Linked DNA regions of Arabidopsis thaliana. The protein of the gene in region 1 interacts with the protein of each later gene in a pairwise test. Each region holds a gene or a part of one and is shown on either strand. Other genes may lie near its edges.

The links.
Region 2: the proteins of CYC3B (region 1) and CDKE;1 interact in a protein complementation assay, tested with the Arabidopsis thaliana proteins (one large-scale study listed by BioGRID).
Region 3: the proteins of CYC3B (region 1) and ICK6 interact in a two-hybrid assay, tested with the Arabidopsis thaliana proteins (one large-scale study listed by BioGRID).
Region 4: the proteins of CYC3B (region 1) and CDKD1;1 interact in a two-hybrid assay, tested with the Arabidopsis thaliana proteins (one large-scale study listed by BioGRID).

The regions. Positions count from the first base shown.
Region 1 is NC_003076.8:3,598,983-3,608,199, reverse strand, and holds CYC3B (mitotic-like cyclin 3B from Arabidopsi), read left to right. Parts: upstream 1-2,849; 5' UTR 2,850-3,035; intron 3,036-3,696; 5' UTR 3,697-3,733; coding exon 3,734-3,889; intron 3,890-3,972; coding exon 3,973-4,059; intron 4,060-4,172; coding exon 4,173-4,359; intron 4,360-4,585; coding exon 4,586-4,707; intron 4,708-4,829; coding exon 4,830-4,922; intron 4,923-5,089; coding exon 5,090-5,223; intron 5,224-5,391; coding exon 5,392-5,467; intron 5,468-5,556; coding exon 5,557-5,633; intron 5,634-5,729; coding exon 5,730-5,763; intron 5,764-5,856; coding exon 5,857-6,006; coding exon of another isoform or gene 6,007-6,095; coding exon 6,096-6,230; intron 6,231-6,329; coding exon 6,330-6,389; 3' UTR 6,390-6,687; downstream 6,688-9,217. Other genes in the region: AT5G11310 (Pentatricopeptide repeat (PPR) superfamily protein), read right to left, coding at 1-1,040, 1,152-1,710; AT5G11290 (transmembrane protein, putative (DUF247)), read right to left, coding at 7,973-9,217.
Region 2 is NC_003076.8:25,462,430-25,467,684, reverse strand, and holds CDKE;1 (cyclin-dependent kinase E;1), read left to right. Parts: upstream 1-1,762; 5' UTR 1,763-1,962; intron 1,963-2,522; 5' UTR 2,523-2,627; coding exon 2,628-4,040; 3' UTR 4,041-4,323; downstream 4,324-5,255. Other genes in the region: AT5G63620 (GroES-like zinc-binding alcohol dehydrogenase family protein), read left to right, coding at 1-25, 110-203, 291-504, 598-739, 821-998, 1,121-1,305. UniProt on the Arabidopsis thaliana protein: Involved in cell differentiation. Required for the specification of stamen and carpel identities and for the proper termination of stem cells in the floral meristem.
Region 3 is NC_003076.8:19,790,266-19,798,136, reverse strand, and holds ICK6 (inhibitor/interactor with cyclin-dependent kinase), read left to right. Parts: upstream 1-3,728; 5' UTR 3,729-3,790; coding exon 3,791-4,221; intron 4,222-4,403; coding exon 4,404-4,430; intron 4,431-5,186; coding exon 5,187-5,381; intron 5,382-5,459; coding exon 5,460-5,529; 3' UTR 5,530-5,867; downstream 5,868-7,871. UniProt on the Arabidopsis thaliana protein: Binds and inhibits CYCD2-1/CDKA-1 complex kinase activity. May target specifically CDKA-1.
Region 4 is NC_003070.9:27,711,609-27,719,684, reverse strand, and holds CDKD1;1 (cyclin-dependent kinase D1;1), read right to left. Parts: upstream 4,776-8,076; 5' UTR 4,573-4,775; coding exon 4,477-4,572; intron 4,194-4,476; coding exon 3,895-4,193; intron 3,800-3,894; coding exon 3,691-3,799; intron 3,606-3,690; coding exon 3,480-3,605; intron 3,403-3,479; coding exon 3,167-3,402; intron 3,086-3,166; coding exon 2,804-3,085; intron 2,716-2,803; coding exon 2,667-2,715; 3' UTR 2,265-2,666; downstream 1-2,264. Other genes in the region: AT1G73700 (MATE efflux family protein), read left to right, coding at 55-291, 416-960, 1,037-1,123, 1,213-1,269, 1,360-1,598, 1,688-1,806, 1,899-1,985, 2,072-2,131.

The DNA.
Region 1 (9,217 bases):
TGTATTTGGCAGCTTCTTCGAGTGAGGAAGAGACGACATTAGGCTGGATAGTCTCTTCGCCATATCGCTCATCCCTTTCGATCTCAACCCGTTATCGATCATCTTAAATGTGATGTACTGTGGAATAATCCCTCGTCTCACTGCGTTGTCAAACTCTTCAAAGGCTTCTTCTAACATCTCGAGTCTGCAGAGCAAATGTATAAGCATTGTGGTTGTTAATAAGTCAGGATCGATTCCTCTGTTTTTCATCTCCTTGTTCACTTGCATCGCCAAGCTCAGCTTCCCATCCTCACACAGCATTTTCAAGATCAAATGATACGTTAACCGGTCTGGACTGTGTCCAGCTTCAATCAACTTGAAATATAAGTTCATGCCCTCTTCCGTTTTGTTATGCTTTGAGAAATACTTGAAGAAATGGTTGTATGTAGTCGTGGTAGGATCAACACCTCGTGTCATCATCATCTTGAGTATTTTGCTAGCACCAGGAAGATCTCCAGCCTTGCAGAAATTCTTCACTAGTGAATTATAAGTCACTATAGTAGGACCTGATTCACAAACGAAGAACCTTTCCATCATACCTAGAGCTTCACTTAACCGCCCCGCTTCTCCTAAACCATCGATAATCGGATTAAAGACCATAAAATTAATCTCCATTTCTGCCATCTTCATTTCTTCAAGAACCTCCATAGCAATCTGAACACGACGCATCCTGCAATACCCTTCGATAAGAGTACCGTAAGTAACAACAGTCGGCTTCACATTCATCGCTTTCATCTCTTCCCATAACTTCTCTGCCTGCTTTAGCTTTCTTGAACGAAACCATCCATTCAATAAAATGTTGAAAATCCGAACAGAAGGAACCCAATTCGAATCCATCGTCCCTCCTATTCTCTCCAAATACATTGAAGCTTCTCTAACATGACCTTCTTTACAAAGTGCATCTAACAAAACCTCAAGCAACCTAAGTTCCGTAGCTGATTTACAAACCGGTTCATAACTTCTAGCGAATTCAAAAGCTCGTATAGCTTGTTGCACCATACCTACAAGCAAATTGGAAAAACTATATTAAAGTCAAAAGCTTTATGCTTCTATTACTCTAAGCTAGCTCTTTGTATCAGCAATATTGATGAAGCTACAAGAAATCTGCATACCAGCACGAGCATACCGTCTGATCAAAACGATGAACGTATCTGCAGAAACCAAATTCGATCCTTCATCGCTTCTCACTCGATCAAAAACCAACGACCAAGCAATTTCAAATTCACGAGCTTTACATAGAGAATTGACAACAGAATCGAAAAGTGAAGGAGAAAGTGTAAACCCAGGTTTCATCTCCGCCCATTTGAACACTGAGTGAAGCAACATCGGCGATGAACTTAACCGATCGAACAACGCGTGAACCAACTCAACACTCGGTTCGATTCCGGTTTCATCTAAAGCTGACTCGAGACTCGAACCGGGAACAACATCAGTGTTCTCGAGAAGATTCGATATAGTAGAGAGATCGGTTTTCGAGACGGTGTTTTGTTGCGGTGGAGTACATGTAGAATCGGGTACGGCGGGTGATTGTATCCGTTGGATGAGAGGCTCGACGGGAATGAGCGGGGATGAACGGCGAGATGATGATAACAATCTATGAAGAAAGAAGTTGCGGTGAGGATTAGGGTTTAAGAGGAGGTTGCGGCGGAAGGCGGTGAACAGAGAGTTCATTTTCTGCCGCCGTTTATTAGAATTAAGTGTCCGCCGAGAAAATTAGGACACTCCGATTACGCGCCATTTGGGCTTTTGTTTGTTAACTGAAAATATCGATCAACATGGCCCATTATTTTAAAATGAAGTTACATATAGAATATTTGATATATATCCTCATACAACTTAGAAATTGTCTTTCTAGTCCTTCTCCACACGTATTTAATTTGTTTTTTATAAAGATGTATATACAATTTATCATTTATTTTTTTGGATAATTTACAATTTATTATTTTGCAAGTAAGAATCCGTGTATGCGTGTGATTCGTATATGTCCAAATACATATAATTAATGTTGTTAAATTGGTAGAAACGCCTTTTTGACTAATGTTTGAATTTCTATATGTGAATAAATATCTTTCGAAATAATTGTGAGAATGCAAGGCAATGGATGTGGTTATTTTCTCCCTCCATTTCCTTTTCAAATTTATTTTATCCCTTTAAAGAAATAAACATATAAATATTATTGACCAAATATATTAAATTGATTTTAAGGTAAAATAGTTGGAAAATATGTGTATAATTAGAAAAATGTCAAAAATTTATAATTGATCTGAACTCGAGCACTTGTTGATGTGTATTTGGATCGTATTTTCCAGATACATGAATTTTAAATTAACATCTTTTAATTTGATTAAGTAAATCAACGATTAAAAACGTGAATGATGGTAGATACATTGCGGTGATAATATCGTACAGAATCGTTTAATGTAAATATAATGTCTATTAATGTATTTTCGTTTCCAAATTAGAAATTACTGTAATTTACGTAAGGTAAATATATTTTTTGTTTTCAAAATAATAGTCATTACCATTTTATGTTTGTCGGAAATTTCTCGACCAATAATTTGTCTATCTATCGAAGTAGTGTAGTTCTTAAAAAACAAACAAATTACCATAACATATAAACTTTTTTTTGTTAATTGACAGCTCCAACATATGTGTAGTAATAAAAGACAGTTGCACTATTCCTTGTATAGTAACTTGGACCAAATTATAGAAATCATTCTTACAATTTTTTACCAAAGAAATTGAAGATTTTTCCAAAAAAAGCAAAGAAAGATTTTTTAAATTCCGATTTTTTTTTTTTGTTATATCCAAAAAAATCCGAATTTCAAACAGTACCTTTTTCAGTCAGTCGCTTCCCCCGCTCCTCTCCGCTCTCTCCCCCACCTACACATATTTCAACACTCTCTCTCTCTCTGGAGCGTTCTCTTCTCTCCTTGAGCTTCTCTTACCGCCATTAGAGCTCCTTCACAAACTCATAAACCTATTTGTTGAGCCAGGTATCATCATCACCTCTCGTCTGCTCACAATTTCCTGTTTGATTACCGATTCTCTGAATCGTAGCTTGTTGCTCTGCGTTTTGATCGATCGGAGCTAATAGTAGTTTGGATTTTAGTCTAATCGATCTCTCTAGCGAATGTTTTTTGGTCTTCGATTGAGATGATCGATTCCTCTTTGTTGTTTCCGCTTGTATTTGGTTTCTGCGTATTTGTTCTTCAAGCATGGCTAATCACTGGGAAATTGAAATTGTTGAGATCGTTCTTATCTGTTTGACTGGATTTTATGAAACGTGTGTGTACTCTATGGCTCATTGTTTGTTTAAGTAATCGGTCTTTTAAAGGATTTTTGCTATGAAGAACAATGCTTAATTCGATTTGGAAATGACTAGCTTGAAAATTGGATCTATCGATGCAGATTAATGTGAAGGAAACATAGAAACTAGTTGTGATAAGCTGGGTTGCTTGTTTAAGCTGACATTTACTCAATAGTTAGAATCGTGTGGAATTGAGATCTGTGGCTAAATTTGAGTATGAAGAAATCGTTTTAATTGCCACTATATGCTTGTTTCTTCCTGAAATTTATGCTGCATTTGAACATTGCTTGATCTTTTTGATGGAGGCAAGGATAGACATTTGATTATGAACTGTTGTTGTTCTGCAGGCTTGGCTTAACCACTGGCCTTTTTCCAGACTAAATTATGTATTGCTCTTCTTCGATGCATCCAAATGCAAACAAAGAAAATATCTCTACTTCAGATGTACAGGAGAGTTTTGTACGAATAACGAGATCACGAGCTAAAAAAGCCATGGGAAGAGGAGTATCAATACCTCCAACAAAACCTTCTTTTAAACAGGTACTGAAACATGTTCTTATAGAAAGTCATGAATTTCAAGAGCTGATGCTAAACTCTCTAATTTCCTGCCTCTGGTTTATCAGCAAAAGAGACGTGCAGTACTTAAGGATGTGAGTAATACCTCTGCAGATATTATTTATTCAGAACTTCGAAAGGGAGGCAACATCAAGGTAAAGATTTCAGATGATACGCTTTCATTGTCTTGGTTGGTTTATATCTTATGTTGGTAATATAGCCTTCAAACTTTCCCTTTGGGCTTATTACTGTTGACATCACGTTGCAGGCAAACAGAAAATGTCTAAAAGAGCCTAAAAAAGCAGCAAAGGAAGGTGCTAACAGTGCCATGGATATTCTGGTAGATATGCATACAGAAAAATCAAAATTAGCAGAAGATTTGTCCAAGATCAGGATGGCTGAAGCCCAAGATGTCTCTCTTTCAAACTTTAAAGATGAAGAAATTACTGAGCAACGTAAGAACTACAGTGTTCGTGAAAATAATGATAGTTACCACCTTCTCCTCATTTCCGAGGTCATGTTGATCACTCGCTAACTTTAAATCAAGCATTGGACTCCAGAATGCTGAAATTAGTTATTCCCATTAAATTTGTGTTGTCAAGGGTTGAAACAAGTGAACTCTATACCAACATGAATTTCTCAAACTTACTTAAGGTATGTATCTTATACTGGATTGTGCAGAAGAAGATGGATCAGGTGTCATGGAGTTACTTCAAGTTGTAGATATTGATTCCAACGTCGAAGATCCACAGTGTTGCAGCTTGTATGCTGCTGATATATATGACAACATACATGTTGCAGAGGTATTGAATTACATGATCCAAATATTTGCTTTACATCTTTCCACTGTTAACTTCTTGTAACTAATCTCAATATAACTACTTATATGAAGACTGTTGGAGTTATAACCTCTCTTTTCTTGCAGCTTCAACAACGACCCTTGGCTAATTATATGGAGCTTGTGCAGCGAGATATCGACCCAGACATGAGAAAGATTCTGATTGACTGGCTTGTAGAAGTTAGTTACCTTCAAACTTAGCTCATATATATAAATAACGGCATCATCTTATTATGTTTCTTATTGAATAGGACACTAAACCTTACTATACATAGCTTTCTTACAAAAATTAGAGCAAAAACTGAGAGTACTTTTGAGTAAAATAGTGAAGTGCGTGGTATTTTCAGGTTTCTGACGACTACAAGCTGGTTCCAGATACGCTTTACCTTACAGTGAATCTTATCGACCGGTTTCTGTCCAACAGTTACATTGAAAGGCAAAGACTCCAGCTCCTTGGTGTCTCTTGCATGCTTATAGCTTCGTAAGTCCCTACTTTGTTGTTTGTGTGTGTTTGTCAATTTCAGGTTATAGCAATGAGAACAGCATTTCCATCACTGGGAGAGCGCGAACCTATATATATATGTATACTTGCTAAGTAGAGAAACAAGTAAGGCTTATCTTCCTTATACATTTTTGTTGAACCTTGTAGAAAATATGAAGAGCTTTCCGCACCAGGGGTGGAGGAGTTTTGCTTCATTACGGCCAACACATACACAAGACCAGAAGTAATTAACATTCAAATCACACATCTCTCGGTATCTTTAATGTGTACAGATTCTTGATGAAAATATATAAACTGGAATCTTTGTTTCAGGTGCTGAGCATGGAGATTCAAATTCTAAATTTTGTGCACTTTAGATTATCGGTTCCTACCACCAAAACATTTCTGAGGTAAATACTAAAGGGCAGAACTATGAATCATCATATCTTTCCAACTTTGTTTAAAAATAGTACCACTGAGTTTTCATCTTACCAATGTTTTTTCAGGCGGTTCATTAAAGCAGCTCAAGCTTCGTACAAGGTATGAAACCATGATCCATTTATCATCAACCCTCACTTCTACAGAAACTTGGAATCTGAATGTAGTGCGTTGTTTCTTATAATTATTTTGCAGGTGCCTTTCATTGAACTGGAGTATTTAGCAAACTATCTCGCCGAATTGACACTGGTGGAATATAGTTTCCTAAGGTTCCTGCCATCACTAATTGCTGCTTCAGCTGTTTTCCTAGCCCGATGGACACTCGACCAAACTGACCATCCTTGGGTCAGCTCATGTTTCTTGAATCTTGAAAAAGGTTGTTTTTGTGTTTGCCTCTTTTTTGTGCTGATAAAAAGAATGATGTTTGGTTATAGAACCCTACTCTGCAACACTACACCAGATATGAGGTAGCTGAGCTGAAGAACACAGTTCTCGCCATGGAGGACTTGCAGCTCAACACCAGTGGCTGTACTCTCGCTGCCACCCGTGAGAAATACAACCAACCAAAGGTACATTTCTCTACAAAACACCGTTAAATCAAACTACTGATTGTTGAAGAAAAGTGAATGAATGATTGAACTGGTTTTAATTCTGTATGACTTTGATAGTTTAAGAGCGTGGCAAAGCTGACATCTCCCAAACGAGTCACATCACTATTCTCAAGATGACACCAAGCAACATCGAAAACAGAGCCCAAGTCAGGTGATCAAAATACCTATTTTCAGACATTGGATGTTATGTCGTCTCTTTGCCAGTTTTGTCTGTCTGTAATTCTGTAGCTATTGTGTGGCGCCTTAATTGTAGGCCATTACTTGTCACACCACTTAGCTTTAAATAAATGTTATGGAATTTTTCTAATCGCATTGCTACAACTATTTACTATCCTGCGGGATTTTGTACCTAGGAGCACTTGGAAAACGAATACAAAAGTGTTAATTAATATAAATTTCACTGTTCATGGCTGGATTGTTATGTTGTTTGTTCTGATTTCGCAATGCTATATTCATATGGAAACATTTCCATCTACAATTAACGTCTCCCGTGTAACATTTGGTATCCCCTTTTTACTGATTCCTCCATGCTTGATTTTATTCGTCAAATTAGTCTTCAGGTATACTTCAATGTATGTATTTCCATGGCTTGAAGTTCTTCAATCTTCCACAAATTCAATCAAATCCTAAAATTCGAAGATACGCCAACACTTTTCCTCCTTAAAAACTCTCAACTATACCCACTTCAGTTCCTTAAGTTGAGTTATCACAGCTACAGTTCCTTATATAGTCCTCCACTAAACAAACAAGAAATCCCTAAGTCTGTAGCTCGACTTAAAACCGCTTCAGATACTTTTCTCAAAGTCGACTTACCTATAATTTTCTGTATGGCAATAGCCTCTACCGCCGTGATTGCGCACGAGATTCATTTACAAAGATCAGGACGCCTAAACCGGTAACTTCTCACTATAAAATGGTAAAAACAGTGTTATTGTTTACATGATCACTTATTCTCTTCTTATGCTAGTCATCCTTACTAGTACAACTGTTGCTCCTGAGTTTGTTTAAGCGTGAATTTGTGTTGGATGATTTATTATAAGATTTTTTATGGGTCAATTGTGATGGATGTGAGCTTGTGTGTCGTAACTTAGGGATACCACTACTAATCATCCCTCCTCTGTTTCCTCTTTAAGAGTCTGCAAGCCTTCAACCACAGATCAAGCTAAGACCAGTTGAGCTCTAGCCATACCATACTACGGCTCATCGGTGTTTTGTGTTTTATTTCTTAAAAATGATGGTCTCTTGTTTTTATGTTCTTTCTATTGGACTTTTTAACTATTGGGGTAAATTAATGTCTGTTCTAGTTCAGTGGACACAACTATGTTGTTCGTTTCTTTTAAATGACTGATAAGCTTTCAACATATAAACTCTATGCATATTTGCTTATCCACAATTGTATTGATGAAAAACAAAGAAACAATGAAAGTATCAATGAATCACAAAAAAACAAATGGGTTTAGAATCTTCGCTTACATCCCTCAGACTCTAATCTCCCTAATCTCAGTGAGTTTAGAAGCTTTCCTCACATCCCTCAGATTCTTTTCTCCCTAATCTCAGTCTAATGGCGACTGGATTCACATACAACATTCAACAAACCCACACACATAACTGGTAATCTTATGTTGCTTCTGTTACAAGATTCTCTGCATATATAACATTCCTCTTTCCCAACATTTGATTATCCTTTACTGTCTCACAAGTCATAAAGCTAATATAGAGCATATAGCCTGAACGAAAGTAAGAAGGAGAAGTACACAGGCAGCCACAACAGAAGCAGCTGACCAAGGATTGTGGAAATAATCACGTCTCAGAGTTGCTTTCCACTTGTTCCAAGGCGCATTGCAATGCGCTTGTAGATTCCCATAGACTGTCTTATAGTAAAACCCGCTGTAACTTGTCTCTTTCAATATGCTATTGAACAGCCTCGAAACGTCTTCTGCATTTCCAAATCTGTTCACAATGATCCCGTGGTCAATGAACAACTCAGCATCCATGGGAGATCTTATGAAGCAACTGAGGAACCTCATATAATGAATGAAGTAAGCATCTAAACGATGACATTGCTCAAACAAGATGATGTTTCTGTACAGAGATTCTGTGATGTCGTTGATCTTGATTTTGGGAATCGTGAGGACTCCGTTTGCAAAGCTTATGTCAAGTGCGCAGGTGTTGTTATCTGCGGGCTGGAGCTTAACACCGGCATTTTGAATCTCTTTTGCACTCAGTACAGAGTCCATCATCCTCATGCTTCCTCCAGGAAAACTCAAAACCAAAGGCAGGTGAATAGATCGCAGAAGGTCAACAAAATGACAGATCTTTGAATCAGAAATGCTTCTCGAAAATGAAGGGATGCTCATCCAGAATTTCTTGAAGTGGTTGTGAATGATTCGAGTCAGAGGGGGAAGTTCCCTATGGTAGTCAACATGTAGCAATCCAAACATCCCCTCGACAACAAAATATGGAAGCTGATTTTCAAGTAACATAACGTCATGGTTCACATCGACAATCATCTTTTGCTTCCCATATATCCTATCTAGCATACCTCTATATACATCAAACTGAGACCTCAAAAGAAGTTCTACTAGGAAGCTTGCATCAACGATTAACATCTTCACATATTCATCGCTACTAAGTCTTACATCTTCTGTGTAACAAAAGCGAGCCCTTTCTTCCCATGTCCTTGCAACTCTTACCAGGTCTTCCAAACTTAAGGCTGTTCTAGGAATAAAACTCTGTAGGTACCTAAGTTTATGATCTTCCATGGCTTGAAGTTCTTCTTTACCGTAGTGTAAGGGTCCAATCGACACAACCCGAGGCGAATAAGCATCGGGGTTCAATCTGCGCAGCCTCTCAGGTGCCTTATAGATACAACAGTTGGTTGAAAGAGAAGACAAAGATTCCAAGTTCTCTTTGATGGAATCCACAAGGGCATCACCTGGAAGGAC
Region 2 (5,255 bases), about 22 Mb from region 1:
TGGAACCTGTTCTTATTGTGCTAAGGTGAGAACGAAATTGTATTGCTTTCATCGGATTCTCTAATCTGAGAACTGTAGCTTTTTAGCTGATATTTTAATTTGGATACAGGGCCATGATGATCTATGTGAAGACTTCTTTGCTTACAACAGAGCCAAGGGAACTCTTTACGATGGCGAAACTCGTCTCTTTTTGCGACATGATGGTAAATTTGAAGACTTTTTAAACATCAGGTGGCATATTAGGAGAACTGTGATTGTTTTACCTAATTACATTTCTTAATTTCTGGCAGATTCACCAGTGTATATGTATAGTATGGGAGGGATGGCTGAGTACTGTGTTACACCAGCTCATGGTTTAGCTCCTCTACCAGAGTCTTTGCCCTACTCTGAATCTGCCATTCTGGGATGTGCTGTTTTTACAGCATATGGTGCTATGGCTCATGCTGCTGAGATCCGTCCTGGAGATTCTATTGCAGTTATTGGAATTGGTGGTGTGGGCTCCAGGTATGTTAAATGTGTGGCATTTTCTTTTCTTTACCGGATTTGGGTTTTATTGCTTCTTGTATGACCATAACCATCTTTGAGTTGTTGCTTCAGTTGTTTGCAGATCGCAAGGGCTTTTGGAGCCTCGGATATCATTGCTGTGGATGTTCAGGATGATAAATTACAGAAGGCCAAGACACTTGGTGCTACTCATATTGTCAATGCTGCTAAAGAAGATGCTGTTGAAAGGATAAGAGTATGGTTGATTCAAGACCTCTTATTTGTGAAGATGAACCATTGATTGATATAAATATGAAAAACTGTTTCTTCTTCGTAGGAAATAACCGGTGGGATGGGTGTTGATGTTGCTGTTGAAGCCTTGGGAAAGCCTCAAACTTTCATGCAGTGCACACTAAGTGTGAAAGATGGTGGAAAAGCTGTGATGATTGGACTCTCACAAGCTGGTTCCGTTGGAGAAATTGACATAAATCGACTTGTTCGTAGAAAGGTTTGGGGTTCTTACTCTCTCTCTCTCGGCCTTGTTAGAAGAAAGTCTCTGGTACTGAGATTGTCTTTTAAGATCATGATATTGAATCTCTTTTTGTTCTGTTTTTCCAATTTTTTGTGAAGATAAAAGTTATAGGATCTTATGGAGGAAGAGCAAGACAGGATCTTCCTAAAGTAGTGAAATTGGCAGAGTCAGGGATTTTCAATCTCACAAACGCAGTCTCAAGTAAATACAAGTTTGAAGATGCAGGAAAAGCATTTCAAGATCTCAACGAAGGCAAAATCGTGAGCCGAGGTGTTGTTGAGATACTATAACCAATATAGCCTTTTGATTCTGGTTTGTGAATGACTGCTTCACACCTGTTTCACTGAGGTCTATTTTTAGTTGCTACAATCTTCAGACAAGGTCATTGTTAATCTGATATTTGTGTTTGTTTAGACAGTGAAAAGGAAAAAAAAAAACTGTAGTAACTGGACAAAATTTATAATTTTACTGTTTTTCATTTCTTTCCAACATTTATTGTTTTTCTATACTGTTAATATTTTTAATTTCTTCCCTCTTTTCACAATTTTCTACTTTCTAAGAATATTAATAACTGACATATATATAAAAAAACACAATTTATTTCTCTTTTGATAAAATTATCTATAAATCATTAAATCTTTGATGAGAAATATCCAATCTACTAATGTATATCGATGATTTAAATGAAATTACTTATTTGAACACAAAAATAAATGAATTTACTAATAAATAAATAGCGTAGTTGGAGCAAGTGGCTAAAAAAATTACAAATCTAGTTTCCATTCTCAGCGTCGGCTGCTTGGAACGTCACCGTTTTCTGGAAAACGCAATCTTCTCCCTTCCGTGACGTCTCACCGGAATTTTCTCGCTTTTGTCTACTCTCCTCCATCTCCGAGGTTCTCCAAGCTCAGCTCCTCTTCCCATCATTCATCCGACCGCCTTATCCGGTCAGATCCTTTACGTATTTCTATTTTCCTGATCGTCGATTTTTGAGAAATGTAAAAACAGATCGTATAAGGCCTCGAAGTTTTTAATTTGAAAGTGGTATCGAAATTTTTTGGTCTTTGATTAGGTTAGGGCACCGTAGCTCTGGGTATTGAATTTGTAGGGTTTTCCTCTGGTTATTGGTCTTTGGAGCTTGGTAATTTCTGCTGAATTGATTGATCCCTTTTCCATCTTTTGAAGTAAAGTCTCGAGCTTTCGTGTCTCGATGTAGATGAATTCTATTTTGAATATGAGATTTGATAAGACGTCAATTGCTGATAATTTGGAGTCTTTGTGTCTGAATTTGTTCATATGAAGTTTTCTGAGGGATGTGAATTTTATTGTCTGCTAATTTTGAAACGTTCCTTTTGGAATTTGGTTTGTGAGGAGTCCTAGATCTTTTTCTGTGAAGTTTCTTGCTTGTAAGTTTTCTGGATCACTTGATTGAGTCTAGAATCTAGATAGATTACATGTACGGTTTGATTCCTTTGGCTGATTTTCCAAAGTTTTGTTCAAATTTCAGGAGAACTACAAAGAGGAAACCAAGATTGTTTTGTTTTGTTAGACTCTACCCCTTTTCCGATTCACATGGTAAGGACATTGAGGTAGAGAATAATACTAAAAAGCAATGGGAGATGGGAGTTCCAGTAGATCCAACAGCTCAAACAGCACTAGTGAGAAACCAGAGTGGCTGCAACAGTACAATCTCGTTGGTAAGATTGGTGAAGGCACTTATGGTCTTGTTTTCTTGGCTAGAACCAAGACTCCGCCTAAAAGACCTATTGCTATCAAGAAGTTTAAGCAGTCCAAAGATGGAGATGGAGTTTCCCCGACTGCTATCCGCGAGATCATGTTGCTTAGAGAGATTTCCCATGAGAACGTCGTGAAGCTTGTGAATGTCCACATCAATTTTGCAGACATGTCTCTGTATCTTGCCTTTGATTATGCCGAGTACGATCTCTATGAAATCATCAGGCACCACAGAGACAAAGTCGGCCATTCGTTAAACACATACACAGTTAAGTCTTTGCTCTGGCAGCTTCTCAACGGATTGAACTATCTTCACAGTAATTGGATTATACACAGAGATTTGAAACCGTCGAATATCTTGGTTATGGGTGATGCAGAAGAGCACGGAATAGTGAAAATAGCTGATTTCGGGCTCGCAAGGATATATCAAGCTCCGTTGAAACCACTATCGGATAACGGAGTTGTGGTCACAATCTGGTACCGAGCACCAGAGCTGCTTCTTGGTTCGAAGCACTACACGAGCGCTGTTGATATGTGGGCAGTTGGGTGTATATTCGCGGAGTTACTAACTCTTAAACCGTTGTTTCAAGGAGCAGAAGCGAAATCGTCTCAAAACCCTTTCCAGTTAGATCAACTTGACAAGATATTCAAGATCTTAGGCCACCCGACGATGGATAAATGGCCAACACTAGTTAACCTTCCACACTGGCAAAATGATGTTCAACACATTCAAGCTCACAAATACGACAGTGTGGGTCTCCACAACGTGGTTCACCTGAATCAGAAAAGTCCTGCGTATGATCTGTTATCCAAAATGCTGGAATATGATCCTCTAAAGCGGATCACGGCTTCACAAGCACTAGAACACGAGTATTTCCGAATGGATCCTCTCCCAGGACGGAACGCATTTGTAGCCAGCCAACCGATGGAGAAGAATGTGAATTACCCAACTCGTCCAGTAGATACAAACACCGATTTCGAAGGCACGACAAGCATCAATCCGCCTCAAGCAGTAGCAGCAGGAAACGTAGCAGGGAACATGGCAGGAGCTCATGGAATGGGCAGTAGATCGATGCCAAGACCAATGGTTGCACATAACATGCAGAGGATGCAGCAATCTCAAGGCATGATGGCTTATAATTTCCCGGCACAGGCAGGGCTTAACCCGAGTGTTCCGCTGCAGCAGCAGCGCGGGATGGCTCAACCGCACCAGCAGCAACAGCTAAGAAGGAAAGATCCCGGAATGGGTATGTCAGGTTACGCACCTCCTAACAAATCCAGACGCCTCTAAAGGTAAAATCGAGATCATCAGTCTCGGGTTAGAATCTGTGTGTTTGCCGCAGAAGAAAGCGTTGCGATTTGCTTTATAGAGTAGAGTTAGATTGTAATGCAGCATGTGGAATGTTGCTATTCATATGGATGGATTGGATTCTCTGTAGTTTTTGTATAAACATCCTCTCAAGTATTTGTTAATTATATTAGATCATCATTTCTCTTAACATCATTTCTCAAAACGTAGTAAATAGGAGATTTGCCAAGTGAAAAATATATATAATGAGACAGTTATTATGAACACAATTTACAGTTATTATGAACACAATTTTGGTGATGTTTCTACTGTTTATGAAATTTGTTTTTTTTTTACCTGCCAGTCTTATCTATTTACCACCAACATACATTAGAATCTAATGTAATTACATCATCAATCATAGACCTAATGAATATTTAATACCACACAGTTTAAACATTGCTATTAAAGTTTGAAAAGATTATACTTTAGTAAAATAATGTTTTCAAACTTGTATTCAATTATACTACGTAAGCAGTGATCCAATTATTACGAACATAATACTTTTCCAAATCAAAATTTTGTTTTTGTTCACCTTACCATCAGTTTCATAATAGAAATATTATATATATACAACACAAACAAATGAATGAGAAATGTTTTTCTATTATTATGACTTTTATTTAAGATTCAAAAGAACGAAGAAGAGTTATATATATGCTTGTTTGTTTCAGGACAAATACAATAAATAAGTGGATAAGAAAACCACAAACCTTGAACTAGCCTGAAATGTGTGAACCAAGCTATACAAACTGTACGTGATTCTGCATCGTGGAAGTCACAAACAGACTTCTGACTTCTGCTAAAGATAAAACTCACTGTTTGCAAGCAATTTAGTATAAATATGAAGCATTGACCTACCAAGATCGACACAATCACACAGTTTCTTCTTAATTAAACCTAGCTATTTTTGTCTTTAGCAGAAGTCAGAAAGCTAGTTTTGTATTTTTCTTATTTCTTAAATATATGGCGGCCAATGTTATGAGACGGTTTATGATTTAAAGATACACAATGGACCCACGACGTTGCCATAATACAATTATTAGGCTGTTAATTAACGTGATCGTTACGTTTGCTACAAACTAGCTAGTTGTGTCTTCTTTATTTTAGTAGATAAGTATAAGAGTCTAAAAATATTACAACCCAATAATGGTTACA
Region 3 (7,871 bases), about 16 Mb from region 1:
GTCAAGTGAAACAGAACGAATGCAATCAACATCATTAACACGCTTATAAAAGATGACAAGTCTCCTAATTGTTTTGTTGGAGATAACTTTTGGCAATCCTGAAAAAGATATCATGGGCAGGATTGCCAAACGTTATTTGAGCAATACAAGTAGGAGATTCTCCATCATTTATAAACGTGCTCATGATGTAGATTGTTTTTCGCTATGTTTTTCACTCGACACACCAAATCTTCTCTACATCTACTACTCTAGTTATGGTCGGGGTAGGTATCGACATTGTAATTTAGAGTCACTTGTCAAAGCTACACTTGATCATGATTTCTTAGTAGAACATGACAATTGTTGTTGTGCTAATGTTTTAAATTGGTTTTAGATGATTAAAGATGAATTACTCATCTGACATATAGTTTTTAGTTTCTGGTTTTGTTTCTATTGCTAAGTTCCGTGGAAACAAATACTCTAGATTTTACAAATACCCTCCTTGTTGCCGTGTGTCACTTTCGGACTATGTACTCGAAACACTAAGCATCAGGTTGGATATTTCCAAGTTGACTGATCCATTGTGAAGGAGTTACTAATCTCTAAGCCGTTCCTTTAGAAAATTCTTCCCAACCCTTTTCCACTCGAATTCTCATGTGTTTTTCGTAGAAAAAATTATATCCACTTTGTACCATCTGTTCCCAACAAAATTACCGTCAAATCTTTTTCAGGGTCTTCACCATTGCCATTCATGAGAGAAACTGACATGAATTAATCTAGGATGATAACTTTTTTTGGAAAAGATGGTACATAGATGACACATCTTCTACGAAAATGCACTGGAAAGAATGAGTTTGGGAGCACATAGTTTAAAGATTGGTTAATTTTCACGTTGGAGTCAATTTGGAAAAATGTAATTCCTAAGCTCAGTTTTTCTAGTACAATATCCAAAAGTGATACAAAGGCAGCACGAAGAGTATCAAAAGCTAGAGAGAAAGATTATATTTTCACTAAACCTACCAGTTTTCGAAATAAAACCAAGAAACAAAATTAACATCAATGATATGATACGCTTTCTAATAATGGTCTCCTAATGTGTTGTAAGTGGGATATATTGAAAGAATTAAAGTTCATATAAGATACATATGCTCTTGGACATATATATGATGCAGTTTAGACATAGTTTATAATTGAAAGTGAAATACAAGAAATCCTCATTAGATAGTTTATGAAATATATTGAACTTTGTAAAAATAGTAAACAAAAATAAATCTAAATTTTTATTTATTTTGTATTTGAAATAAAACCCAAAAAGAAGATCTTTTCATGAAAGAGAAAAAAAGAAGTAAAATTGGTTGTAAATTTATTTCTGAATAGAAAAAAAAAAGAAATTGTGCCACGCAAAACCTTAATGCTTGAGCTTAATAAAATGAACCTTAATGCTTGAGCTTAATAAAATGAACCTTAATGCTTGAGCTTAATAATTGGGGATTATGTGGTTAATAGTATGGACCAGGAATCTTAGTCAGCAAACACTATATGGATTTTCTAATTATCTTAAATGGAAGTAGTAATTTATTTGTTTTTGTTTTTTAACATAGGAAATTTTGAAATATTTAGGTCCAAATTCGTGGTTTCCAAATATCTACACTTCAGATATCCAAATTTGTGGTTTAATATATATGTATATCCAAACTAAATTTAATTACAAAAAAAAAGTGGAATTTTAATATTTAGTTTGCCATTAAAAGATTTTAGATACAGTATATGGATTTTTGAGAGGCATGGCACTATTATTCGGAATCATAGATCCAATCCGGAATTCTTTCCGATCCGATCCAGAAAACCGGATATCCAAGATAGGTGAATCCAGATCCAGAGAATGAATTTACGGATACGTATAATCCGAATTATAATTTGATTTTAATTTATAATGGTGGGATACATACCTTCATCTTTGTTGCCTCGTTCCAGCTTGCATTTCTCCGTAGTAACATGTTGCAGATGATTCCTTCCTAAAGGTTTTGATTGGTATTTTATATTTCGCGCGGCCCAATTGTCACATACATTTTGATTATATCCGCATAATAAATGTTGTTAGCAAACAAATGAGGATTAATATTGAAAATTGTCCCTAGATCAAAAATTTATTACTGAAATCATACCTTTCTTTGCATATACCACATAAAATGCCAATGAATCAAAATTCATCACAAGAAGCAATCATCACTAGTAGCTGATGTGTATATGTAGACGTCTCTTTAGGGTTTTTACAACAATCTCCATGGAATTTTCGATCAACATGTTTTATTAAATCATATTGATTTTTTATTATTTTATGTTTTAAGGTAAATAAGAAATTGTTTATTTTCTTCTTTGTAAACTATTGTCGGATCATATATTTATGTGATGTAGAAGCCATGTTATCGTGTACAATGCGTGTTAAAACTTAAAATTGTGAAACTTTTGTATGTAATAATGATTGATTGACTAATTGATTTTAAAAGATAGAAAATATATAAATTATGGGTCCACATGGTAATTTTATAAAGAAAAAATCCCGGATTTTTTCTATTTAATCGAGAAATATAGATAATGATATACAAAAATTGGTGATTTTTTGTGAAATGTCAGTTGACTAGAAATTTGAAACAATTCTTATCAATGTATTTTTAAAAATATCATGTTTAATATGTAAGTTTAATATTCATTAGTGTGCATAATGTAAGAATAATTACTAATTTACATAAATATTTTCTCTTATATGTGAAAGTATTTAACTACTGATTTATTGATATACAATGAAAAAGTATGGGCTATTAACTTTATATGATTTCAATAATTTTTATGATTAATATATTTGATAAAAATGATAAATAATAAATCATTATTTTAAAAGAAACATGTATATCCAACAAAAAAAGCCGTGTGTAATACGCGTTGGTTCAAAGGGTAATTTAACTATGGAAAATAGTCCTAGATTTATTTTTGTTAAATTGAGAAATAAAAATCATTATATACCAAAATTGTAAACTTAGCAATTTTTTGGTGCAATTTCCGTTGACTCGATTTTTTGGAAAAAGTCTGTCAATTTCAAAGAAAAAATATTATGTTTAAATACTTAAGTTGAATATTTATTCGTGTGCATAATAATAATTTATTTTTCGTATAAACATTTTTTATTCTATGTGAATGTATGTAACTAGTTGTTTGTTGTTACATGTTAAAAGTATGTACTATTAAGTTTATATGGTTTCAATAAAAAAAATTCAATACTTTTTATGATGAAATTATTTGATAAAATTTAAATAAATGAAAATTGTTTTTTTAACAACAAACCGATCATATTAATGAGAATTTATTTTAAAATAGAAAAGCCGTATGCAATACACGTTATATTTAATAGAAAATTCGTAGTCAAATGATGAATTTAATTAGCAGTTTAATTTTTAAGAAGTTAAAGATTTAGTCAAATGATGAATTTAAATTTATTCGACAACAAAAATTATCAATAAATCAAAAATGTAAAACTGACGATTATTCTATGAAAAGTGAAAACACAACGGAAAATACAAATAATAATGATGAGTTTGGGGTTTTATTTAAAAATAATAATAATAATAATATTGTTTTTGACAATTAGATAAAAAAGGTAAACTTTTTTTTTCTTCTCCTTTGTTTTATTTTAACCCCACAAAACTCGAAAACCTTTTTCCCATTTTCTCACTTTCCCTCTTCTTCTCCTCCCTCAAAGCTTTTCCCTCTCATTTTTCTCTTTCCGCTTTCAAGCTTCTTTTCCCTCTCTCAAAAAATGGGGAAATACATGAAGAAATCAAAGATAACTGGCGATATCAGCGTCATGGAAGTCTCTAAAGCAACAGCTCCAAGTCCAGGTGTTCGAACCAGAGCCGCTAAAACCCTAGCCTTGAAGCGGCTTAATTCCTCCGCCGCTGATTCAGCTCTACCTAACGACTCTTCTTGCTATCTTCAGCTCCGTAGCCGCCGTCTCGAGAAACCCTCTTCGCTGATTGAACCGAAACAGCCGCCGAGAGTTCACAGATCGGGAATTAAAGAGTCTGGTTCCAGGTCTCGCGTTGACTCGGTTAACTCGGTTCCTGTAGCTCAGAGCTCTAATGAAGATGAATGTTTTGACAATTTCGTGAGTGTCCAAGTTTCTTGTGGTGAAAACAGTCTCGGTTTTGAATCAAGACACAGGTTCGTTGTTTTTTTTTTTTTTTTTTTGTGCCCTAATGTTTTCTTATTACCAATTCGACTTTTGTGTTCTGTCTTATCCAATAATCTTAGTTTTGAGTCTTACATAGTTTTGAATCTTAGTTAGGTTTCTCTGAAACTTTTGTTGTTTGCTTCAAATCAATTTTTTTTTTTTTGGGGGATGAAAATAGTTTAGTACAAGAGAAAAATAGGTTTTTTATGTTTCCCTTATTGGTTTGGTTTTTGTTTATGAATTGACTCTCTTGTGATGTACTGAATTTTGTTATTACTACTTCTCCGTATAAGTCTCTTTTGGTGTTAGATTTACATTATATCTGATTTATTGCTGTATGTCCCATGTGTACTTCATTGCAGAGATTATCAATGAATGTGTCAAAGCTATTTTCGTTTTATATATGTATTTCATTATTTGTTACAAATTTGGTGAAACTCTGATCTGTTTTTGTGTATTTTAATTTGTTTAAGAACATGTTGATTCTCCTTGTTATTAGGCTAATGGCATAAGAAGTATTTGTACATTGGGTATACAATATTGGGATTTGGTTATTGGGGGTTTACTTAAACACATGGTTTTCGTTTTTACAAAAGTGGGTTGTTGTATAAAGGTCAGAAACTTTTAATATGTAAGATTATATGAGAATTGGGACTTTCCTCATAAGTGTAATGCAAGTACTGTGGTGTCATGTTCATGGGACCTAGTGGTTTTTGCATACTTGGGGAATACTTTTGTAGGATCCTCTGTTTTTTGGGGTAACCGTCCTGCTGCTAGTTGACAATGTGGTGATTGCCTTCTCTTTGTTATTTATTATCTTATGGGACCATATTACTTAGAAAGTCTCTAGCTTTTGTTGTTTACTTAAACCAAGCCTCTTTTTTATTCTGGATGTTTGGTTTTGGTTTGATTCTTGATTTGGTTAAGTGTCTTTGTGGTGATAATGTTATTGAAGTTATTTTATCTGTGTTTTTTTCTGCAGCACAAGGGAGAGCACGCCTTGTAACTTTGTTGAGGATATGGAGATCATGGTTACACCAGGGTCTAGCACGAGGTCGATGTGCAGAGCAACCAAAGAGTACACAAGGGAACAAGATAACGTGATCCCGACCACTAGTGAAATGGAGGAGTTCTTTGCATATGCAGAGCAGCAGCAACAGAGGCTATTCATGGAGAAGTAAGCTTATTCTTTATTTTATTTTTGTGTCATTACGAAGAGGGTGAACAACACTCATGTGTTTTCAATAATCTTCAGGTACAACTTCGACATTGTGAATGATATCCCCCTCAGCGGACGTTACGAATGGGTGCAAGTCAAACCATGAAGTTCAAAAGGAAACAGCTCCAAAAGACATGGTGTGAAGTTAGAGAATGTGATGGAGTTAACAGACTAACCAAACATCAGAAATCGTGTAATCTTAAGTAATAATGTGGTTAGAGAACAAGTTTGAGAGTAGCTTAGGGACCTTAAAACCTCACACCATTTGTACTACTAATCTTCTTCAGATGCTTAGTGAAATTTTCTCATCTGTTTCTTTCAAGTGTTTGTTTTTCTATCTATCTCTCATGTTTATTCAAAGCTATATGTAATGATGATGATTGAGAGGGATGTGTGTGAACATGTTTAAGCTTGGCATATAGTGAAAAAAATGATTCAGATGCAGAAGAAAGAGACCCAATTGAGAGGTTCACGTGTGAATTTTGGTAGGTGTAAAAATCTGAATCATATCCTTTTTCTTTCAACTATACAAGATTGGTCCCTTTTCTTCTCTTACCATAATTATGACGCACGTGAATGTGTGTGTAAATACTTTGACGTTTACATTGAAATACTGTAATGTAAGTTCAGAGTTAAAAGTACAAACACAAAGGTGAATTTTGTACTAATTAGTAAAGAGATAAGAGTGTTTTGAATCTTGAATATCAAATTATTATTAACAAGAAACTGACAAAAAGATGAGACAGTGTTCATTGAGAAGATCTCTGTTGTTTTATCTTTTTTTTTACATTTCTTGGAAATTGGCAAAACCAGTGTGATGAAACTGTGAAATCTTATCTCGAACCCAATCATTGTTCTATGTTTTTCTTTAATCTCTAAAAGTGAAAAAGTGAATGCATGAAACGTTCAGATACATTCATTATATTATACATTTATACATATGGACATGGTGTACGTATGTACACGGGTGCTTGTTTGATCACGGGCTCACTGACTATAAAAATCATGTTTTTTGGGACATATAGATTCGCTTACATCAACTGTGTGACCAATGGGGTATCTGAATTCAGCTTGTTCGATGTTTTGTTTGACTCTTTTAAACTATTTGGTAGTAAAAAGCCAAAAAGGAAGAGCACTGATTACGAAAGCCTTTTTGTCTTTTTGTTTCTTCTTCTCTAGCTCTCTTTCGTTCTCCTTTTGGGTTAGTCCTTCAAAATAAATGTCTTTAACTTGTCATGTATAGTTTCTTTCTCTCGTTGAACACCAACCATAGGCCTTGCAATGTGAGTCAAAACATGCATTGAAAAAAGAAGTGAATTTCAACATTAAATGCTCTCGTTTAACATGCCTATGGTTCCATTAAGCAAAGTACACACTCTATATATGTCGAAAGAACTATACAGTCGGTGTTTTAGCCCTATAGTTAGATACATTCGAACTGATTACAGAAATATCAAATATCCAGTTCTAAGATCGGATTAAGGCAAATACATTTAAACTACTTCTAGCGAATGAGGTTCACATAGAAAAACTTTTTAAAATGAATCACTAAACAAGATTCATTTTCTTTCTAAATAGTGTAAAGACGAGTGATGCATGCAACTGCTCTCCTTTCCGTTGGTCCCTTGTCAAAATATACGACCGTGAATAATTCTTCCCATCATATTTATCTGTCGGAGAGTTCCAACCTCAAAACATTCTCCTTCTCTTATCAATTCTTTCTAAAATCATAAACCAACAAACTGGGCCTATGATCAATTATTCATATTCAATTTAGCCTATAACTAAAACCACACTGCTTTCGTTACACTGGCCTTCCGACAAGTCTCTTTGACTGTTTTTATCTTAAGCGCCATCAAGTTTTAAAGAAGACAACCCCATATCTTTCCTCCCATGAATCATCGTGTCCATATTGCTATAGTTCATGAAAAAACTAAATACTATCGACAACTGAAGAAAAGATCCGGATCTTGTGGACCGAGTGAATGGTTGGGCCCAATTAGAATGGTCTACCCTAACATCTAGCCGTCTACACGATTGATCATACGTCTAAGAGGGCGAAACCACCAAACGTTTGGATTTTATCTAAATTGATGTACATAAAGCTAACATGATTTTAGTATAAACATTATAAGCATCATGGAAATCAATAAGCTAACATGATTTTAGTAGAAACATTATCAGCTAACATGAATTACTAAAAACATTTATTTTATTTTAAGGAAAAACATACAATACTAAGATTTTTTATAACATTTTTTCTTTGTAACATTATAAATTGTTTTAGTTTCTACATTAATTAAATATATAAAATAAATTCATTTAAATAATATAAGAAAACGGAATCTTTGATTAACTGCTGATTATTGGCCACTGATTAATTTCCGACCCCATCAATAGATGAGATCAGACATACACAACTTAAGTAGACCAAAAAAGCGGTTGGTG
Region 4 (8,076 bases), on another chromosome or scaffold:
TCTATTTCTCTTAGTTTTTTTTTGACATATTTTTTTGTGAGAAACAGAGAGAAAATGGAAGATGGTGTGACGCCTCCGCTTCTGATCACAGAGAAAGACACGACGATGATTCGTGTGAAGGAGGAGGTGAAGAAGCAGCTATGGCTTTCTGCTCCACTCATTGGTGTTAGCCTTCTTCAATACTCTCTCCAAGTCATCTCCGTCATGTTCGTTGGCCATCTTGGCTCTCTTCCTCTCTCTGCCGCCTCTATCGCCACCTCCTTTGCCTCCGTTACCGGCTTCACCTTCCTCGTACGTTTCTTCGTCCCATCTCTCACGATCCAGTCAAAAAAAAAAAAAGAGTGCATTCAATAACATAACCTTAGTTATCCTCTGTTTTGTAACTTTGTTCAAAGTTTGTGTGTATGTGAAACAGTTGGGAACAGCAAGTGCATTGGAGACACTATGTGGCCAAGCTTACGGAGCAAAACTATATGGAAAATTGGGAATTCAAATGCAGAGAGCAATGTTTGTACTTCTTATACTCTCTGTTCCTCTCTCAATCATTTGGGCTAACACAGAACAGATTCTCGTATTGGTCCATCAAGACAAGTCCATTGCAAGTGTTGCTGGCTCCTACGCTAAATACATGATCCCGAGCCTCTTCGCCTACGGACTGCTTCAATGTATCAACAGGTTCTTGCAAGCGCAGAACAATGTGTTCCCTGTCTTTGTCTGCTCTGGTATCACTACATGTCTTCATTTGCTTCTCTGTTGGTTGTTTGTGTTGAAGACTGGTTTAGGATACAGAGGAGCTGCTCTTGCTATTTCGGTCTCTTACTGGTTCAACGTCATTCTCCTCTCGTGTTATGTCAAGTTTTCGCCTTCTTGCTCGCATAGTTGGACCGGGTTTTCGAAAGAGGCTTTTCAAGAACTTTATGATTTCTCTAAAATTGCTTTTCCTTCAGCGGTCATGGTCTGGTAAGTCATCAAACATAAAATGCTGCATTGTTCAGGTTCCAGTATCTGCATTTTAATCAAATTCTGTTTGAAACAGTTTGGAGCTTTGGTCCTTCGAGCTTCTGGTTCTTGCCTCAGGCCTTCTTCCTAACCCGGTTTTAGAAACTTCGGTGCTTTCAATCTGGTAGATTTCGGTTATCTTTGTCTTATGGTACTCAGAGTTTGTGTACTTCTTCTTTATATTTGATCAACCTCATTTCTGCAACTTTTCAGTCTAAATACTTCCCTAACAATCTGGCAGATTTCGGTTGGTCTTGGTGGCGCTGCAAGGTCAGTAACAAAATGTATCCAAGAGCTCATAAAAAGAAAAATCTCATCAAACCAACCTATCTCACTTTGTGTGTTTCTGTTAACTTGCAGCATAAGGGTCTCAAACGAGTTAGGAGCAGGGAATCCACAAGTGGCAAAACTGGCTGTATATGTCATTGTAGGCATAGCAGTAGCCGAGGGAATTGTGGTTGTAACAGTTTTGTTGTCGATTCGGAAGATCTTAGGTCATGCTTTTAGCAGCGACCCGAAAATCATCGCATATGCCGCATCAATGATACCGATTGTTGCATGTGGAAACTTCCTTGATGGCTTACAATGCGTACTCTCAGGTTTTGAATGATAGAAGATTGGCTTTGGTTCCTTGTTTATATATGTCCGGTTCGAATCCTGGTCAAATAGTTTTGATTTATGGTTGCAGGGGTTGCTAGAGGATGTGGATGGCAGAAAATTGGAGCATGTGTGAATCTTGGATCATATTATCTTGTTGGAGTTCCATTAGGATTGTTACTTGGTTTCCATTTCCACATTGGTGGTCGGGTAATAATCTTAAACTCTCCTTCTCATTCTCAAGTTCAAACACAAGACTAGTTTTATAGAAACTTTTATTTTGTGGTATTTTCATATTGTAGGGGCTTTGGCTGGGAATCGTAACAGCATTGTCTGTTCAAGTGTTGTGTCTTTCCTTAGTCACTATATTCACAAACTGGGATAAAGAGGTAAAACCTTTTAACTGATCGGCTCAGTTTTATATGTATAATAACTCTGCCATAATGTGATTCTGTTTCTTGTTTTACATGATTAGGCAAAGAAAGCTACGAACAGAGTCGGATCTTCAGATGACAAAGATGGTGACGTCCAATGATCAATAAACGTCTGAGGAAAAAGCAGTTGCAAATGAGCTTAATGAGTGCTTTATTCTTGTATGCCCATATGAACTTATTGGGAATTTCTAATTGATGTGGCCGTACATTGGTCTTTAGAAAACTTTACCATTGTTACATAGTTATTGAAATTCCTTGGATGTGTTTCCATTCTCATCGAGCATTAGTGTAATGAGATCAAAAATTCATATATGTAATACACCAACGTGTTCGATACTAAAAATTCTGGACTTTAAATTGGAAATGAACGAAGAATGAGTTTGGGATCAGAGCTCTCTTCTAAACATAGGCCAAAAACAGAGATTTTTCTATGAAGGGTGTACATGATGATTAGTTAATCATCTGTGCTTTATATTCTTTATTTTAGACAGAAAGAATGATTCAAACTATTCGTCATCACTAGTTGTGATATGAAAAATTTCAGGAATTACTGAACGGAACCAACCAGTAAGAGAGATCCTATAGGCTATAGGAACCTGAAGAACGACGTCAAGAAGAAGCCTGTTACGCGATATCCTATAGGAACTCGAGATCAAGTTTCCTCTTCAGATGAGATCTATCTGCACTGCAAATCCAAAAATCAAGAATTCATCAAAAGTTTTCATTTTTTAAGCTGACCAAGAACTGACTGTAATAAAACCAATTGTTTTTACCTGGTGATGGTTGGTCGGTTTGGTGGCCGCTCAGCTAAGATGGTGAAATCTAAAGACATTGGTGCTTGTCCATCATGGCTAGCTTGTCTCATGACATCAACACTCTGGTCCTTGAAACCATTACCAGACTTTCCTCGGTCAGGCATCACTCTTCTAAACTTATGTGCTGGTGACAGCACTTTAATGGCTTCAAGTTTACTATCAGATGACTTAGCATCTTGCTTGGAAACTGGTCTTGGGAGCTTTAAAGGGTCAGTAGGTGAAGGTGCAGATGTGAAGTACCTTTAAAAAGAAATCAAGGTTTGAGAACAAAACTAAATAACCTGTTCTTATGCATTATCCATAGGGGAGATTTTTAGGTACCTGTGTTTTAGAGCCTGCTGAATCGATATTCTAGACTTGGGGTCATAGGTGAACATCTTTGACAACAAATCTAAAGCATCCTCACTAACCGTTGGGAGTAAAGAACGTAAAGAAGGAGCAGGGACAAATTGATACTCTACATAATCAGGAAGGCAGATCATGTCAGGCCACTGATCTGCTTTTGGAGTCCCAAAGGCAGCAAAGATTTTGCTTAATTGATCAATATCACTGTTTCCCTGCAATGGAATAAGTAAGTTAGATAAACAAGTAGACAGATGCACTGGATTACTACACAATCAAAATGGAGGTTCACCTGAAGAAATGGTCTGCGTAATAGAAGTTCAGCAAAAATGCAGCCAGCAGCCCAAACATCAACTGCACCATCATATTGTTTTGCACCAAACAAAAGTTCAGGTGCTCTATACCATCTAGCAAACACCTATGAAAATTGCTAAAGGACATCAAGATACGAAAGATAGCAGAACTACTACATAAATAGCATTGTCACAACAAACAAAGCATACCTGGTGGGTAAACTTACGACCTGGGCTACCAAATATACGTGCTAACCCAAAATCTGCAAGTTTCAGCTGTCCATTGGGTCCTATCAACAAGTTGTTTGGCTTCATATCTCTGAAACAAATACGAATGATCATCCATAAGTTTAAATCAAAACAGACCTTATTAGAGATAGAACAAGTTCTGCTTCTAAGTTCCAATGATAGTACCTGTGCAGAACCCATTTGCCATGGCAATATTCAAGACCTTTCAATATCATTTGGAGGTAAGATTTGACATCACCAGGCGAAAGATAGAGATTACGATCTCGGATAACTGCTTCGAGATCAGTCTCCATGAACTCAAACACGATGTGCAAATTCTCCTTGTGAGGAAACGCATCAATCAACTCAATTATATGTGGATGCTTAAGCTCTTTAAGTAATTTGATTTCTCTAAGAGCTGTTACATTCACACCTTCTTTCTCTTTACCAAGTCTTATTTTCTTGATCGCTACAGTTTCTCCATTCTACAAATTGCCACAACAAAACAAATCAGCTTCCTTATACAAACTTAAACAAAAACTACACACTTTAAATCCATTAAGAACATAAAAATGCAAACTTTGACTTCTAAGAACACATATTAGTGTAAAGATCGAAACTTTAGCTGATTTAAAACCTAAGAGCTATCAGATTTAACCAAATTGTTCCCAGGAAGAGACACGTCAAAAGACACACGACAGAATTGGAACCCTAGTTTCGATGGGATCGACAAAAAATATGAAGAATTGAGAGAGGAATCATCTTCACCTTTGTATCAGTAGCTTTGAAGACGACTCCATAAGTACCTTGACCAAGAACCTCTCGCTTTAGATACCTATCAGCAACTTTCTTCGGCTGTTCCATCTCCGGAACTCTCTAATCGGATCACAAGCAATTGATCGAAACTGATCTTAATTAATTTGTTATCGTTAACGTTGAGGTATCTTATGATGCTCTGGAGAAAAAGTAGCCGTTAGAGCAATTACAGAAGGAATCGACATTTTTAGGGGAAAATATTGAAAAGTAAACGAAAAAGGAAAGAGACGCTCTAAAGCTAGAAATAAAACGAAGCTGGAAGCGTCTATCGTAACGACGTCGTTTAAAGGTTTATAAATGAAAAGCAAAATTGTTCCGGTTTACTCAACATTGACTCGTCAATTATTCTTCGGTTTAAAATGTTATAAGTTAGTGGTTAAACAAAAGATGATTGTGAATATTAACATTTTTTTAGCTGTATGAATATTGGAACATTGCCTAAACATACTTAGAAATTAAAAAAAAAATCCAAGAAAATAAAAAGCTGCATCAACAAGTTGCCAAATTAACCTTGCTCATATTTTCCGCAGCATGGACCAGGAGAACACTACCGGATTAACTTCCGTTTCATGAAGCGTGGAATCAAGCCCAAATATAAGGCCCAAATAACTATTCCGAGAAGGTTAGACAAGCAACTGTTAACTTCTGGGCCCATATAATGGGCTCATAAGAAAGAGATGCAGCCCAATCATTAAAGTTTGCACAAATAATTAGGCTGATCAGTCCACTTTTTTTTAGGTGACCAAAGAAAACAAAGTAAGCCTAACATTTGAGTATGAACCAGAAAAATTTAGGATACTTCAGGGTCAAGTATTTTGCTAGTGAACATTTTTCATCATACAAATTTTTATTTAAACAACTCAAAAAAAAACTTACACGATGGATAAAAAAACACACTTAAAAATAAGCCATTGAATTGTGAAAGAGACGAGACTCGTGAGGGTAATAAGACAAGTTCGTTGTAATAAATCTAGCAATAGATTCTGCTCAGACAGAGAAATAATTACCTGCTTTCGTGCCCACATCATCAGACTTATAATCCTGACCGTACATCAACCTATTTCACTATTTCGTGTTGAAATTTCTAGTTGTTAGGGCTAACAAATGATTTAGAATTAGGTCACCAAACGGAAACACTTGTACATTATTTTCTAAAAGAAATAAAGAATGGTCGGCCAAATTCATTTTCAAAGTTACATCTTAAAAATGTAGTGGACTAGTAGTTGGCAGGAACGATAATAATTGTTATTTTTATTATCTTTACCCAAAAAAAAAAAGAGTGAAGCACAAAAGCCGAGAAGGACGCATGTGACGCGTAGGGAATCTAACACAAACAATGTCAGACCCTTCCCATGTCTTTTCAGATGCACCCACCTGTTCCTTTTTTTCTTTTCTTTTTATTCTTCTATCACGAATATCTAAACCACTATAATTACGACTCTCTATCTATCATTTCTTCCAAAACATGACGTGGCCTCTTCTCTCTCTCTCTTTCCTTCTCTCTAAGTATGTTTAGGGTTAATAATTAGGGTTCCTCCTCTCTTTTGTTCTGTCTTTATATCTCCTTCATAGCTCTAATGTAAGAGATTTACCTCTTTTGGTGTTTTTGTTAATCCACGTTCTCATCAAAACTTTCTCATTGTTTTATGAAGAGTTAAAGGTCTTTACAGTTTGCTTATGTCAGATCCATAATATATTTGACAAGATACTTTGTTTTTCGATAGATCTTGATCTGACGATGGAAGTAGAGCTCCTTAAAGTTCAAACATGAGTTGAGCAGGGTAAAGAAAAGCTGCTAAGCTATGGATCCCATAAGCCCTAATCCTTGTAAAGTAAAAAAGGATTTGGTTATATGGATTGCATATCTCAGGAGCTTTAACTTGCCCTTTAATGGCTTTTACTCTTCTTTGGATTGAAGGGAGCTCTACATCTTCTTTCACCTTCTCTATTTTTTATTTTTCTTTATTTCTACTCAACAATTATTTATTCGGATTCATCTTTAATTTTCCGTTATAATTTCTTTTTGGTAAGGATTATTCGCTATAATTTGAGAATTATATGGTTATTATTTTGATTCCGAAGCAATGTTTAGCGTGTTATTTGTTTTTCTTGTAAAAAACTAGGGTTTATGCAACTGCCTCGGGTAGATGAGAAGATCCTTGGTTCTTTGGAGACTTTTAAATTTTGCAATCTTTGCTGCCATATGCACTGACTATCTTTGTATGATTATTCTCATATCTAATCTAACAACTAAATCCTGTTCTACAATCACAGTCCTTTAGTTAATTGCGAAAATAGTTTTCTGTCATATATGTAAAATGATGATCGGATCGGATTTAAAGGACCAAAGATATTCACTAACTTATACGATTCATTTGTCAACTCGAGTACTTGATTCCTGTCTTTACACAATGAAGATTATAAACTTGAAGAACATTAAAAGTTAATAAAAGTTAAGATTAAGATATAAAAATAACACATATCAATAAATTGAATGTCTTTTCGGATCACCTGTAGGAGTTGGCCATATAATTTGAAATCGAACGTAAACTACAGCAAATTTTGTTATTATAGTTTGATTGATAAAGAAATGGTTTTAGGCAGAATAATTGAAACTGAACCCTAGCTAAACAATTTCTTTTAAGGGAGTCATCATGTAAACCAAATTTCACTTAAAAAAATGATGTTTTAAACATATAATTCGACAATTTTTAGTTTACTAAAAAGATTATGATTTTTGTTTGTTTTAAATTTAATATTGTTATACTTCCATAAACAAGTTACATGTGCTACAGTTGTGAGTCTCGAACTTTGAGTCTCCAACCCAAAAGAAATCGAGATACAGTTATGTGCTAGTTTAAAGAGTAAACTTACTCAAAAATATCCGAAAAACACAGGTAAACTGATCCCAAAAACAAAATTCCGAAAACTTAGATCACCATGTCGATCCGGTCCAAAAGTTTTCATAAGAACTATCAACCAGCCTTCGATGTTTCAGACTTTCAGTCTATGGTTTCAGCACAATAAGATAATCTTGTAGACACATAGTATGTCTTCAAACATGAGGTCTCTTGGTGTTGTATGTGTAGAAACTTATTTGGCTGGTCTTGCCTTCGTTGCTAAACTGGGATGTAGACATTTTCATTATTTTGATTGTACTTTCGAAGTTTTCAAAATTGGGCCTCGTTTTTATGACCCTTCATGGAAAAAATAAAGTTGTCAATCTTCCTCTTACGACAGAAGAGGTCTGTTGCAGATCTGGACCAAACCCTGTAAGCAAAATATCCATTAACATAAGGTCAAATCTAGCCCATTAAATAGGCCCAAATAAAGGCCTAATAGTGTAATGTCAACCCTAATCGTTCAATTCTCTCACCATATTTATGTAACGACTGACTGATTTAACTAAGCCTTCTATTGGGCCTTTGGCACACAAATGTTGTAAGAGCTACTTGTGTTCGAATGAATAGTTTTTTTTTTTTTACCAACGTATGTATCGAGCAATTTCTCGTTATGAGAATGATTCAATTATTTTGAATTGTTAATTTGTTA